Anolis sagrei: one gene and its partner. The protein of the gene in region 2 purifies or fractionates together with the protein of the main gene of each other region. This does not show direct contact. Links are inferred from orthologs where the notes say so. Each region holds a gene or a part of one and is shown on either strand. Other genes may lie near its edges.

Region 1 (7,172 bases), on a different chromosome or scaffold from region 2:
TTTGCAAGATCCAAATTCCTTTTCAGCTCAAAGCCACAGGAACTCAAGCTGAAGTTCTTCTGAGACCCGGGGCGTGGCTGGTGCAAAAATCTCCAAGCAAGAAGGAAAGATGAGATCATGAGAGGCTGCCTGAAAAGGCACTGCAAGAGTCATCCATTTTAAAACATCCTTACTTCTCACAAATATTTTTAGTTGCTTCTTCCACACCCACAAACACCCTCCCTCCCCCCCCCCCCCCCCAAGCTGTCTCTGTTCTCGGGCTATGAACCACAGAACTCTTCAGCATTCATTAACAGGAAAAAAATATACAGTTCAAGATTAATTTTTCATCAATTTGCTTATTGTTGTTTTTAAAAAAATCTTGAACAACTTTGAAAAATACCAAAATTTCCATCCAAATCAAAAAAACCCAACATACCAAACACGACTCTTAAAAAAAGTTGTTTACCAGACAGAAAAATAAAATCTCCCTCTAGTGCATAATTTTGAACATTTAAATATGTTCCTTTATCACAGCATGTATCTCCATCTAAGATCAGTTAAACTTCTGTGTTAAGAAGCAAAAGAAACTTTTGTTTCCACGGCTACAATCCTTTCCCTTAACTTGAAAGTGGAAACAGAACAGATTCAGACTCAAGCAAAACTTTCACTTTGTATTTTTCCTTCTCTTCCCATTTTAAAATTAAATGATTGTTTGGAGGAAGAAATCGTGTCCCAAAAATGTATTCACTCTTAAACAGTTATTTGTAGTGTGTCGTCAAAGGCTTTCATGGCAGGAATCACTGGGTTGTTGTGAGTTTTCCTGGCTGAATGGCCATGTTCCAGAAGCATTCTCTCCTGACGTTTCCCCTACATCTATGGCAGGCATCCTCAGGGGTTGTGAGGTCTCACAACCCCCAAGGATGCCTGCCATAAATGCAGGTGAAACGTCAGGAGAGAATGCTTCTGGAACATGGCCATTCAGCCTGGAAAACTCACAACAACCCAGTTATTTGTAGCCATTGATGGTTATCTGTGAATACATTTAAATTGAAGAATAAATACTGTAATAATGATTCAATTAGTTACAAACCTCATCTTAAATTCTGATTTTATTTAAGGTGCTGAGATTGTGGTCCCTGCAGAGCAAAGAACTGCCTGCTTTATGTATACTTTCTCTTGTGACACTTCTCTACAGGTTGTATTTCTTATTGAACATACCCGTCAACAAATTATTTTGGCTTTCACATTTCCATGGATTTCGGAGTTTCTTTACTTGCATATACGTACTCCATGAGATACTTTGGAGATGGGATCCAAGTCCAAACACAAAATTAGTGTATGTTTCACATACACCTTACAGACATAGCCTGAAGCATGAAACAAAACGTGTGTGTATTGAGACATCAGAAAGCCAAGGTGCTGCTCTCTCATGTAGACAGTTTTGGAGGATTTTGGAATTCCAGACAAGGGATGCTCAACCTATATAGAAATTGTTCCTTCTGTTAAGGTTGTATACATTTTTGGTTCAATGCCATTGTTGGTGGAGTTCAGAATGCTGTTTGATTGTACATGAACTATAAATCCCAGCAACTTCAACTCCCAAATGACAAAATCAATCCCCCCTCCCAACCCCACCAGTATTCAAATTTGGGCTTATTGGGTATTTGTGCCAAATTTAGTCCAGTGAATGGAAATACATCCCTCATATCAGATATTTACATTACAGTTCACAACAGTAGCAAAAAGACAGTTACGAAGCAGCAACAAAAATGATTTTCTGGTTGGAGGGTTGCCACAACATGAGGAACTGGATTAAGGGGTCGTGGCATTAGGAAGGTTGAGAAACACTGCTTTAAAAATGTTATTATGATCTGGAGGGAGGGGAGAGAAGAGGGTCTACCTTGCAGTTAAACCCAGGCTCCTCCCTGTTTCTTGAGGTTGCTGTTGTTATAGAATGGGCTCACAGAGACCCAGGGTGCATCTACACTGGAGAATCAAGGCAGTTCGACACCACTTCAACTGCCATGGCTCAATGCTATGGAATCATGGGAGTTGCAGTTTCACAAGACGTTTAGCCTTTTCTGCCAAAGAGTGCTGGTGGCTCCCCAAACTACAACACCCAGAATCCCATAGGATTGAGCCAGGGCAGTTAAAAGTGGGATCCAACTGCATTAATTCTACATTGTAGATGTAGTGTCACAAGGCCTTTCGCTTCCTCTGCCAAGAGGGCTGGTGCCTCCTCAAACTGGGAACCACAGTACCCAATAGTATTGAGCCGGGGCAGGAAAAAGTGGGATCAAACTGCATTAATTCTACAATGCAGATGCAGTTTCGCAAGGCCTTTGGCTTCCTCTGCCCAAGAGGGCTGGTGCCCCCTCAAACTGGGAACCACAGTAACCCATAGTATTGTGCTGGGGCAGTTAAAAGTGGACCAAAGTGCATTAATTCTACAGTGCAGATGCACTCCCTAGGCACAACTCCCCGAGCCCAACAAGTCGCAATTCCCCCAACGCAAGCAAGGCTGGCTGCTGCTTTGAGCATGGATCCCCAGCCTCCTTCGGGTGGAAAAGGGGGGAAGGCAAGCAGGCGATCCTCCCCCTTTCTCCTTCCCTTGATGTGGAGGAAAAGACCCCGAAATCTACCGCTTTGTTTTGGCCTGGAAAGGGGGGGGGGAGGGAGGGAGACGAGGCAGGCAATCACAATGCTGCTGCTTCTTGTGATCGGCATCCATCTCCAAGCGAGAGGAAGGAGAGGCGACTCACCCAGAAGACGAAATTGAAGACGAAGAGGAGGTATTTGATGCACTTGGTACAGCCTTCGACTCCCATGGCTGCGGGCGGAGAGGGGCTTCGGCCTGGTGGGCTCCGAGGAGGAGGAGAAGGAGAAGAAGGAGGAGGAGGAGGAGGAGCAGAGGCGGCAGCGCCTTGCAACGAGACGGAGGGCGGGCGGGTAGGCTGGCTGCGGCGGCGGCTGCTGCTGCTTCTCCTTCGCGGGTCTTACAGAGCTCGCTCGCCCCGCTCGCCTCGCTTTTGGCCCGCGCTTTCCCCGCCCCTCGAGCCCCGCGCCCCCCTCCCACCGCCGCGCAGGCAGGCAAGCAGGCAGGCAGGCAGAAGCGCCTTGCCTCCTCCTACAGGCCGCCCAGACCCAGCCTCGATCCCAGTCTTGCTCCCCCCACCCCTCGCCCTTCCCTTACACCCGCACTGCCTCGGCTCCTATAAAGAAGCCGCAGTGGGTGCAAGGCCGGCACACTCTGAGCATCCTTTCCCCGGGGTTGCAAAGCCTCTGCGCTGCCACATTCATGCGCTTCCACACTGCCATGGCTGCCTGCTGTGGAATCGTGGGAGCTGTGGCGCAGCTAGTTAGTAGCCAGAGGCATTAAGTCACTACTGACCGAGTTGGAAGCCGGCCGGGGTCGGAGTGAGCTCCCGACCATCCATAGTCTAGCTTGCTGTTGACCTGTTGTTTCTTCATTCAGTCACTTCCGACTCTTTGTGAACTCATGGACCAGCCACGCCAGAGCTCCCTGTCGGCCGTCACCACCCCCAGCACTGGGGTATAAACAAATATAGGTAATAGTATGAAAGCTGGGTTTGGAAGCTCTGAGCCTTACGCTCTTTCCGCTTTGCCCCTTCAGGAGTGCTGTTTGCGCAACACAGAACGGAACACAGATATTATAGAATTATAAGAATTCTTTAATGGTAAAACCCTAACCCTTAACCCTAAACCTAAATCTAACCCCGAAGCCTAATTCTAACTCTAATCCTAACCCTAATCCTACCCCAAACCCTAAACCTTATCCTAAACCAGTGGTTCTCAACCTGGGGTCCCCGGATGTTTTTGGCCTACAACTCCCAGAAACCCCAACCAGTTTACCAGCTGTTGGGGTTTCTGGAAGTTGAAGACCAAAACATCTGGGGACCCAAGGTTGAGGACCACTGTCCGAAACTTTATCCTAACACTCCCCTTCTTTATATCCTTCCACCAAACTACGAAGTATATTCCTGCCCTCAGTATGGCGCTCTCCCTTTCCCTTATTCACAACCGCCGTTGCAGAATATGCGTAACGCTCGGAGCTTCCGGGCCCAGCTATCATACTATCACCCAGATATAAACACAATTTTGTTGTTTATTTGTTCAGTCGCTTCCAACTCTTCGTGACCCCATGGACCAACCCACACCAGAGCTACCTTTTGGCCGCCACCACCCCCAGCTCCTTCAGCTCCTTCAGAGTCAAGCCAGTCACTTCAAGGATACCATCCATCCATCTTACTCTTGGTCAGCCTCTCTTCCTGTTTCCTTCCATTTCCCCCAGCATCTTTGTCTTCTCCAAGCTTTCCTGTCGTCTCATGGTGTGGCCAAAGTACTTCATCTTGGCCTCTACTATCCTTCCCTCCAGTGAGCAGTCGGGCTTTATTTCCTGAAGTATGGACTGGTTGGATCTTCTCACGGTCCAAAGCACTCAGAATTTTCCTCCAGCACCACAGTTCAAAAGTGTCTATCTTCCCCCCCAACCCCAAATTTTGTACATACATCATCATCGTCATCATCTTTCCCGCCACCATCTCCCAGGGCGGCTTACAAAACACTCAAAGTGTGAAATGCAAAATACAACAAGTGCAAAACAAAACATACAAGTAGACAATAAACAATCAACATCATAAATTCACAGTACCCTCTGGTAAAAACAATAGTTGTTTATTTGTTCAGTCGCTTCTGACTCTTCATGACCTCATGGACCAGCCCACGCCAGAGCTCCCTGTTGGCCATCCATCTTGCCCTTGGTTGGTCCCTTTTCCCTCCATTTCCCCCAGCATCATTGTCTTCTCTAAGCTTTCCTGTCTTCTCATGATGTGGCCAAAGTACTTCATCTTGGCCTCTACTATCCTTCCCTCCAATGAGCAGTTGGGCTTTATTTCCTGAAGTATGGACTGGTTGGATCTTCTGGCGGTCCAAGGCACTCTCAGAATTTTCCTCCAGCACCACAGTTCAAACTCATCAATCTTCCATCGCTCAACCTTCCCTATGATGCAGCTCTCACATCCGTAGGTGACTACGGGGAATACCATTGCTTTGACTAATTGGATCTTCGTTGCCAGTGTGATGTCTCTACTCTTCACTATTTTATCAAGATTGGTCATTGCTTTCCTCCCAAGAAGTAAGTGTCTCCTCATTTCCTGGCTGCAGTCTGTGTCTGCAGTCATCTTTGCACCTAGAAATGCAGTCTGCTATTGACCTATGCAGCCCGAAAGACAGTTGCATCTGTCAAGTAGGAAATTTAGGGGAGGGGAGCCACCTGTGGCACAGTGGGTTAAACTGCTGAGCTGCTGAATTTGCTAACTGAAAAGTTGCAGGTTCAGATCCGGGGAGTGGCATGAGCTCCCCTGTTAGCCCCAACTTCTGGCAACCTAGCAGTTGGAAAATGTGAATGTGAGTAGATGAATAGGTACCGCATATGTGGGAAGGTAACAGCATTCCAATCATGCCGACCACATGACCTTGGAGGTGTCTACGGACAATGCCGGCTCTTCGGTTTAGAAATGGAGAGGAGCACCACACCCCAGAGTCGGACATGACTGAACTTAATGTCAGGGGAAAACTTTACCTTATGCGGGGAGACTAATTTTATTTATTTATTTATTTGTTTATTTGTAGTATTTGTATTCCGCCCTTCTCACCCCGCAGGGGACTCAGGGCGGATTACAATGCACAGATACATGGCAAACATTCAATGCCATTTAGACATTCAACATATATAGACAGACATAGAGGCCATTTAACATTCCAGGTTTTCCGGCTTCGTGAGAATATGCTTGGTTCCAGCCACAGGGGGAGCTGCCGCTTGTGACACCGGGTTCTTTGATGGACTATTTCCTCATCCTTACGCACACTGCTGGAAGGTTTTATGGCATTGTAAATTAGTTAAATTAGTTAGCTAAAGTGACAGATGCAACTGTCATTCAGGCTACATAGGTCAACAGCAAGCTAGACTATTAATGGTCGAGAGCTTACTCCAACCTGGGCTGACTTTGAACTCATGACCTCTCGGACACGACTGGACTTAATGTCAGGGGAAACCTTTTTACCCACAATGCATCCCAGGGTTGATCTGCCTCCTTCTTGATTCTCTCAAACTCACCAGTTGCTTCCGTCACATTGCTGCAATGGTCTCTTCCATTTCTGTATCAGTATGTTGTAAATCAGCATTTCTCAACTTGGGGGTTGTGAGGGGGTGTCAGAGGGGTTGTCAAAGACCACCAGAAAACACTGTATTTTCTGTTGGTCATTGGGGTTCTTTGTGGGAAGTTTGCCTCAATTCTATCATTGGTAGGGTTTAGAATGCACTTTGATTGTAAGTGACCTATAAATCCCAGCAACTAAAACTTACAAATAACAAAATCAATCCCCTCCCCCAACCCCACCAGTATTCAAATATTCGGGTATTTGTGCCAAATTTGGTCTAATAAATAAAAAATATCCTGCATATCAGATATTTACATGATGATTCATAACTAGTAAAATTACAGTTATGAAGTAGCAACGAAAATAATTTTATGGTTGGGGGTCACCGCAACATGAGGAACTGTATTAAGGGTTTGCGGCATTCGGAAGGTTGAGAACCACTCCTGTAAAGTAAGATCAGGCAGCGGGATTCTCCTTCTCCCTCCCTCTCACTATCCCAAGGCTTGTTCTTGTTTTGTGTTCTCTCTCTCTCTCTTTTGCTTTTTTTCCCCAATGCTGCATAAAAATAAAAATTAGTATAAAAAAATAAGGAGCAGCAGTAGAGCCGGTAGATGGAGGTATGAGGATGTGTGAAAGTGTGATTGTAGGACCATGAATTGGTGAATCAGCACAATCGCACTACCGAAGGGAGGTGTGATATCAAAGGTGCTCAACCTTGTATGTATCCACTTTCAATGTGGCGGAATAGTAGATTCATACAATAAAGTCCTTCCTTCCCTCCCCATGTTTCTCCCAGGGCCCTTCACACAGCCATATAACCCAGAATATCAAGGCAGAATAACCCACAATATCTGTTTTGAACTGGGTTATCTGACTGCACACTGCCATATATGCCAGTTCAAAGCTGAAAATGTGGGATTTTATTCAGCTGTGTGGAACTGGCTTCAGAAATCTCATGATCTGGCACTGTTTGGAAGCGCCCTTAGTACCATGATGTTATCGGGATATAT
Region 2 (7,060 bases):
ATGGAAGGAAAAAGGAAGGGGAGCTGAACAAGGGAAAGATGGATGGATGGCAACCTTGAAGTGACTGGCTTGACTCTGAAGGAGCTGGGGGTGGTGATGGCTGATGGGGATCTCTGGCATGGGCTGGTCCATGAGGTCACGAAGAGTCGGAAGCAACTGAATGAATAAACAACAACATATGGCATTGTAGACTAATATAGTCCAGCTCAAATCATATAATCTGGATGTTATCTGACAGTGTAGATGGGGCCTCACTATTTTGCTTCTGGCAGCAGAGGAATTACTTCCTAATTTAGTTGCTGAGTGTTATGTATTTAAATGTTCGAACCGGAAAAGGCAGCTTCAGGGTTTTTTTTTTTTTTTTTGGTTTTTTTTGGCAAAGGTTAGGAATCAGGAAATATTTCATTTCTGTAAGTCACATGATGGTTCTAGTTCCAGATAGTTGCTTAAATAAGAGGTCATCCTCCTTTGTGTCAGGCTAATGGTTAAACAAGAACAGCATAAAATGGGCTCTCGGCCCTGGTGATTTCTCTCTCTCTCTTTCCCCCCAGCAACCTTGTTTATTACATAACTGTGATAGAAATCATGCTACAATTTTAGGCTATGTCCAGTGCAGATTGGCATGTCAAATAATTTGCAGAGAAGAGGAATGTTATAGAAAAGAACATCTTGAACCAACAAAAGAGAGCTTTAAGATTTAGTATGACTACATAGGATGAGGAAACTGGCTCCTTCCCATACCTAGATTTCCCCTTCAAACACACCCTTTTTGGTTTTCGCTTTCGCTTCCCAGATGGTTTTTCCCCTAGCGGGAACTTGTGATTGGAAATCATTCCTGCAGAGACAAAAACAACAGAGAATATGAGACGGGAAGATTCAACTCAGCTGATGAGAGAGTTCAGCTTCCTTCTCCACTTGCCTATACATGTTACGCTCCACTTTAACAAATGGATGCATAAGTATGCAGCTACTTATTATCCAGAAGTGTGGAACAATCAAGCCAAGCCTCAACTTTTTCCATTCAATGTCTACTTTCAATCTCATCTGCTGACTATTAGAGCGGTGCACACATATCCATTTGTTCCATGCTGTAAAAGTATGTTCGGTAGTTGCAAATCCCCAGGGTCATTTGTTCATTTGATGATGATTTTGGACAAAGAGACTAACAGTGAAGGCATTGGTTTTATAGGTTTTTAAAGCTTTATTGTTTGTATTTTATAACTCTGTTTGAAATGTTATTTTAAGTGTTTATTGTTAAGGTATCAAATGGCTGCCTGATTGTAAACCGCCTTAAGTCACCTTCAGGTTTGAGAAAGGCAGGATAGAAATATCATAAATAAATAAACAACAGATATGCTTGTGATAATATAATAATAGTAAATAATAAACTCGGAGCGGCTTACATGAGGCCAGGCTCAAACAACAAATACAACAGAGTAAAACCGAAAACACAAATGTGAACAATAAACAACAAAATCTTATTTACATAAAGCATGTGAATACATAACAATATAAAATTACAGTAAGCACAAACACAGTGACAATGGCCGGGCTACATGTAATGATTAAAAGAAAAACTAATTAAGAACTAATTAACAACTCGGGCAAGATAAAAGAGAAGCAGGTTATAATGTAATGGTCCTGCATAATGTAATGGTCCTCTAGCCCAGTATCTCCTATTTACAGAGATTGGAAAAGTTTCTTCATCCTGTTTCCTGGCTACAGCTCCTAGAATGCCTTCGGGTGCATCTCCCGGGTAGAATTAAGACAATATCCCAATGTTTCTTGTAAAAGTCGCTGCCCATGGCAAGAGCTCACAGGAAACACAAAATGGCATCCTGTAGTTGCAGGTCTGCAAAATAAACCCATCAATGCACTCTCAAAGACATGAACTGCCTGAGAAAATTTATTTGGGGCTGCTACTTCCCCATTATCATGGGGTTGTTGTTGTGAAAGGACCAAGGCAGTGACATCTCCAGCTCATCCCTTGTTTGGGTATCAGCCAGCACGTCAACGAAATAAATCAAGAAATAGTTTTCTAAGATCTACAAAGACACTCGCTGGAACACCTCAGCAAGTGAGAGTCCAAAAGTGGCAGGCTCCAACCCAGAACCTCAACCAATGGCTGATACCAAATGAGAGACTCCTCTGGGCACACAGAAAACTGGGTGACGTGGAAGGCACTGAACAGACTGCACTCTGGCACCACAAGATGCAGAGCCAATCTTAAGAAACGGGGCTACAAAGTGGAATCCATGACATGCAAGTGTGGAGAAGAGCAAACTACAGACCACCTGCTGCAATGCGATCTGAGCCCTGCTACATGCACAATGGAGGACCTTCTTGCGGCAACACCAGAGGCACTCAAAGTGGCCAGATACTGGTCAAACGACATTTAATCAACTACCAAGCTTGCTAATTTTGTGTTTTGTCTGTTTGTTTGGTTTGTTCTGTTAGAAATGTAATACAATTATCTGGTTGCCCCTGACACGATAAATAAATAAATCATGGGGTTTTTGAAAGACCATCCAGATAGCACCTATAGTGCATGCCCTCCTGCGTTTTTGCCTGGAGCATCCAAACTACGACTCTGGGAAAAACTAATGCTTTTGGAACAAAGCAGGAAAACCCTGCTTTGTTCCGAAATAATTTGTCAGCCGGAAAGACCCGGGTCTTTCAGAAGACTCGGGTCTTTGCAGCTATGGGCGCTGTGTAGCTGGGACTGGGGATAGCACCGCATGACCTCCAGTGTCCATTTAATAATAATATATATAAACATGTGTACCAGACAGTTAAATGAGTTAAATCCATTATGATTTAAAATATCATGATGTGTTCTTTATTCTTATTTTTTCTCTGCAGGTGCAGAACATCCTGAGAATATAGGAATTTACACATCTGTCTCCTGCAGCCCGAGAAACCTGAGATATCCCCCCCCCCCCCCACAGGAAAGCCTTTTAAACAAAAAATAACTTACCCGGCTGCCATTCCCCCTTCTCCGGAGCTCTCCTGGGGTGTAGAAATGATGAGCCAGTAGAGGTGGGAAGGAGAAAAATTACTTCTGCCCTTCCTCCCTTTCTCCTGGCATGTCATTTCTATGCACCAGGAGATCCCCGGAGAATCGGGAATGGCGGCTGAGTAAGTTATTTTCCATTTTAAAGGCTTTTGGGTGGGGGTGGGGGGTTGTTAGTGACTTGGTGCCCTGCTAGAGAGTCCGGCAAGGCATCTGGACACCCACCCAGAAAAGCACAGATGTTGTGGGGAGGTTCTGGACTTCAACCTAGGCGCAATCATGTTTAAGAAATATGATTGCTCCCAGGTTTAAGGTCTTGTCTGGAACTGCTTCAGGGAATGCGGTCTGTGACACAAACCAAACAAGAAAAGGCCCAGGCTTCCGTAAGAGCTTCTAAAGAAGGAAGCTTCACCTGCTCTTCCTGTTCAAATGTAATGTTTTGTAACTTTTACTTGCGATTTGGTTATACTGTAACCTGTGTCAAATGAAGAAATGATGGTATATAAATCGCAGAAGGACATTTCCATGCATAGTTATGTATAAGTCGAGGACATTTGGTGGAGAGGGGAAAACACCAATGATGCCTCAAGATGCCAGCTGAGCCTGCTCTATTCTGGCATCCAAAAGGGCCAGAAAGACACCATGACAAAGAGAGTAGAGGAATTGGTCCTTCTTTTAGGTCTCTTGGGATGAGATAAACTCTTGCCTTTCACCACTCTACTCAGAAATAGTTCTTTTTTATTATAAGAGTTAAGATACAGTACTTGTATTGACTCATGGATAAATTGGCCCAGTTTTTTGAGTTGATTTCACGACTAAAATTACTAGACTTATACATGAGTATATAAGAAATAAACTTAGCAGGGACAATCTTGCAAAAGAAAAAAGAAAAGTAAGAAGTTCAGTTCTCATTTTCTTTGAGCTTACATCAGTTTAGCTGCAGTTCCCCTACCCTTCCTCCCTTGGGTCTTCTGTTCAGGCCTCAAGGGAACATGATGGGAAGTATGGTCACGCGCCAAAGAGGCTCTTCTTCTGCTAAAACAGCAAGTAGTTGAGAGACCGCCCTTCTGAGGCTGCCTGGGCCTCACTGTGCCCGGCTGGCATGCAGTGGAGCTGCTTGAAAGGAGGCCATGGTATCTGTTCTGCCTTACCTGCTTCTGCTCTGGCTGGGTTGTGGCGGAACAGCCAGCAATGAGCAGGAGATGCCAATGCAAGTTGTTGAAGCAACAGGTGGGTCGATGGAGATGGTGGAATGACATGGGTTTCTGCTATGAAGGGGGAGGCAGTATCAGTAAAGTGGACGTGTTGCTGTATAATGAAAGATTCACTAGTATGCTGCTCTGTTTTAGCGAGCCTGATGAACTCCATTTTGATAAAGGCTGACGTTTCCTCATGAATTGCATTGTTTATTGGGCCCTGTCATTTCTGCTATGCTAGAAATGCTGTAAGGTAAAGCTAAAGCTAAAGGTTTTCCCCTGACATTAAGTCCAGTCGTGTCAGACTTTGGGGGTTGGTGCTCATCTCCATTTCTAAGTCGAAGAGCCAGCATTGTCTGTAGACACCTCCAAGGCCATGACTGCATGGAGCACCATTACCTTCCTGCAGGAGCAGTACCTATTGATCTCCTCATATTTGCATGTTTTCAAACTGCTAGGATGGCAGAAGCTGGGGCTAACAGCGGGAGCTCATGCCACTCCCCGGATTCGAACCTGCGACCTTTTGGTTAGCAAGGTCAGCAGCTCAGCGGTTTAACCCACTATGCCATTGGGGGCTTCGAAATGCTGTAACTGCAAAAAAAAAAAATTGCATAGCACCAATAACAGGTCTCAAAGACCAGAAGTTATAGTTATATACAGTGTCAGATACTGAGAACATCCTCTTAATTAACAACCAAGCTCTGACTACATTCTGAGCTCGGCATACAGACCTCAGATCAGGATGACCACATATGCATTAGATATTCCTCATGCATACTTTGTGTTTGTCAGTGTAATTCTGTAGTTCTATAAAATACTGATGCTTGGAATAAACTCTTATCTCAAACAGTGCTGTGAGTAGATTGGACTGAAAGCAGTGCTGGGACTTGAAGATCCTTTGGCCAAAGTTATTGTTTGTTGGGTTTTTTTCTCCTTCCTGCTCCTTCTAGCTCTATGTTCCACATGGGACTTATAGAAGGATGTATACCCAAGAGAATCAGGAACAGAGTGCCTTTGAGCATGTTCAGAATGGTTCCCTCTTATTGTGGTCAGCTTCCAAGTATCTGGGATTACAAGCAAACAGGTTTCTTGCTCAGAAAGCTTTGTTTATAGTTGAAAAGTTGTAATAGCTGAATTTCCTTAGTGTTTACTCCCTACTCCATTTTTCCTCTTTTATTCTGGCATGTCTTTGAGACTAGAAACCTGTGTCATTTGTAATCTTTTTAACCTAAACAATTAGTAGGAACAATCATAGACATTTTTCAAGAAGGTCTGAGATAAAAAAAAAATATTATTGAAGCTAATGTTAGTTAGGGGCGGTTGCAGTATGCCAACCTAACAGTTCAAAAACATGCAAATGTGAGTAGGTACTGCTCCAGCAGGAAGGTAATGGTGCTCCATGCTGTCATGCTGGTCACATGACCTTGGAGATGTCTATGGACAACGGCAGATTTTTGGCTTAGAAATGGAGATGAGCACCACCCCCCAGAGTAAGACACAACTGGACTTAATGTCTGGGGAAAACCTTTACCTTTACCTAATGGTAAAGGTCTTTGTCTTTGCCAGCAAAGACAAATACCAGGATGGAATCACCTTATACAAATATCATTGGTTTAAAGGTATTCTCCATTGTAATTCTGGGTCAGATATAGAGGAAAGAACGGGCAAAATCACTCTTGAGTGTTCCTTTCCTAAGAAAACCTTACAAAAGCCATGAGATCACCATAAGTTAACAAGCAACTTGAAGGCACATACACCAAGAATATCCTCATCATAGAGCCTGTAAAAAAGTTAATTTTGGACTACGACTCCCAAGATTCCCCAGCCAACATGGCCATTGGTTGTGTTGAATCAGGAACCTTGAAACTCTAATTAAATTTTTTAATGACGTGGAATTAAAAGTGTTTCTTTGCCCCCATTGTCAGAGGTGATTGGCACCAGATGATTTGAAACTCCCACCCTAGAGTTTAACATGCTAACTTACAATCTTTCTAGTTTCTCAAACTTTTTAAAAAATAGCTAGGTAGTGAGGGAGGAATTATTTCTTCATCTAATCCAGGGGTGTCAAACCATTTTCATCAAGAGCCACATCAGCCTTGTGGTTGCCTTCAAAGGGCTGTTGAATCCATGGAAAGTGAATCCATGGATACAGAGGACCAACTAAACTTTTTGTTTTACATGTTGTCAAAGTTTTTTTAAATTTTTTATCCAGTTTGGTTCCTCAGATATTATTGAACAACAACTCCCATCACTTTTGATTATCCACCATGTGGACGGGGAAAATGGGGATTGCAATTCAACTGCACTCGTGGCTCTGAGGTTGGGGGAAGGTTAAAGGACATTTTAACATCAAACATCATATCCACAAGCCTTGTATCTAAATTCAAACCTCACTCTCCTGATAAGACAAGACAAACTGCAGCCTTCCAGATGTTATGGTGTCATAACTCCCATCAGCTTTAGTCATGATGTTGAATGATGAGAAATCCAATTGCAGTCCAGCATTTGGAGGGCAAGATGACATGACATGGCAAGCTGGATTGTAACTTAGGGCCTTGAGAAAATTTACACTGAAAATCTGACTTTTTTGTCTCATATCCCAGAGTCTGATACAGTAATTCTGCCCTGCCCTTTTGATCCTGCACTGACCTCGGATTATCTGGATTTGACTTGGTTCAGTCCGTCTGGGGACCTGCTGTTGTACACATATGTTCAATACCTTCAGTCAGGCGCAAGACTAGGTGACATGTGGGGACTGTTGCTCTACAACATCTCCAGGCAAGATGATGTTTGGTTCACTTGTCAGTGGAATGGCACCTTGGGAACAAACCACACACTCCCAAACGGGACT

Evidence for each region.
Region 1: the proteins of CD19 (region 2) and CD81 purify together in Homo sapiens (affinity purification with western blotting, with the first as the bait; 3 studies listed by BioGRID). This does not show direct contact. The link is inferred for Anolis sagrei from reciprocal best matches to the Homo sapiens genes CD19 and CD81.

What each region holds. Positions count from the first base shown.
Region 1 is NC_090021.1:245,345,292-245,352,463, reverse strand, and holds the start of CD81 (CD81 antigen), read right to left. Parts: upstream 3,016-7,172; 5' UTR 2,811-3,015; coding exon 2,745-2,810; intron 1-2,744. UniProt on the Homo sapiens protein: Structural component of specialized membrane microdomains known as tetraspanin-enriched microdomains (TERMs), which act as platforms for receptor clustering and signaling.
Region 2 is NC_090026.1:22,848,732-22,855,791, forward strand, and holds the start of CD19 (B-lymphocyte antigen CD19), read left to right. Parts: upstream 1-4,000; 5' UTR 4,001-4,143; coding exon 4,144-4,243; intron 4,244-6,812; coding exon 6,813-7,060. UniProt on the Homo sapiens protein: Functions as a coreceptor for the B-cell antigen receptor complex (BCR) on B-lymphocytes. Decreases the threshold for activation of downstream signaling pathways and for triggering B-cell responses to antigens.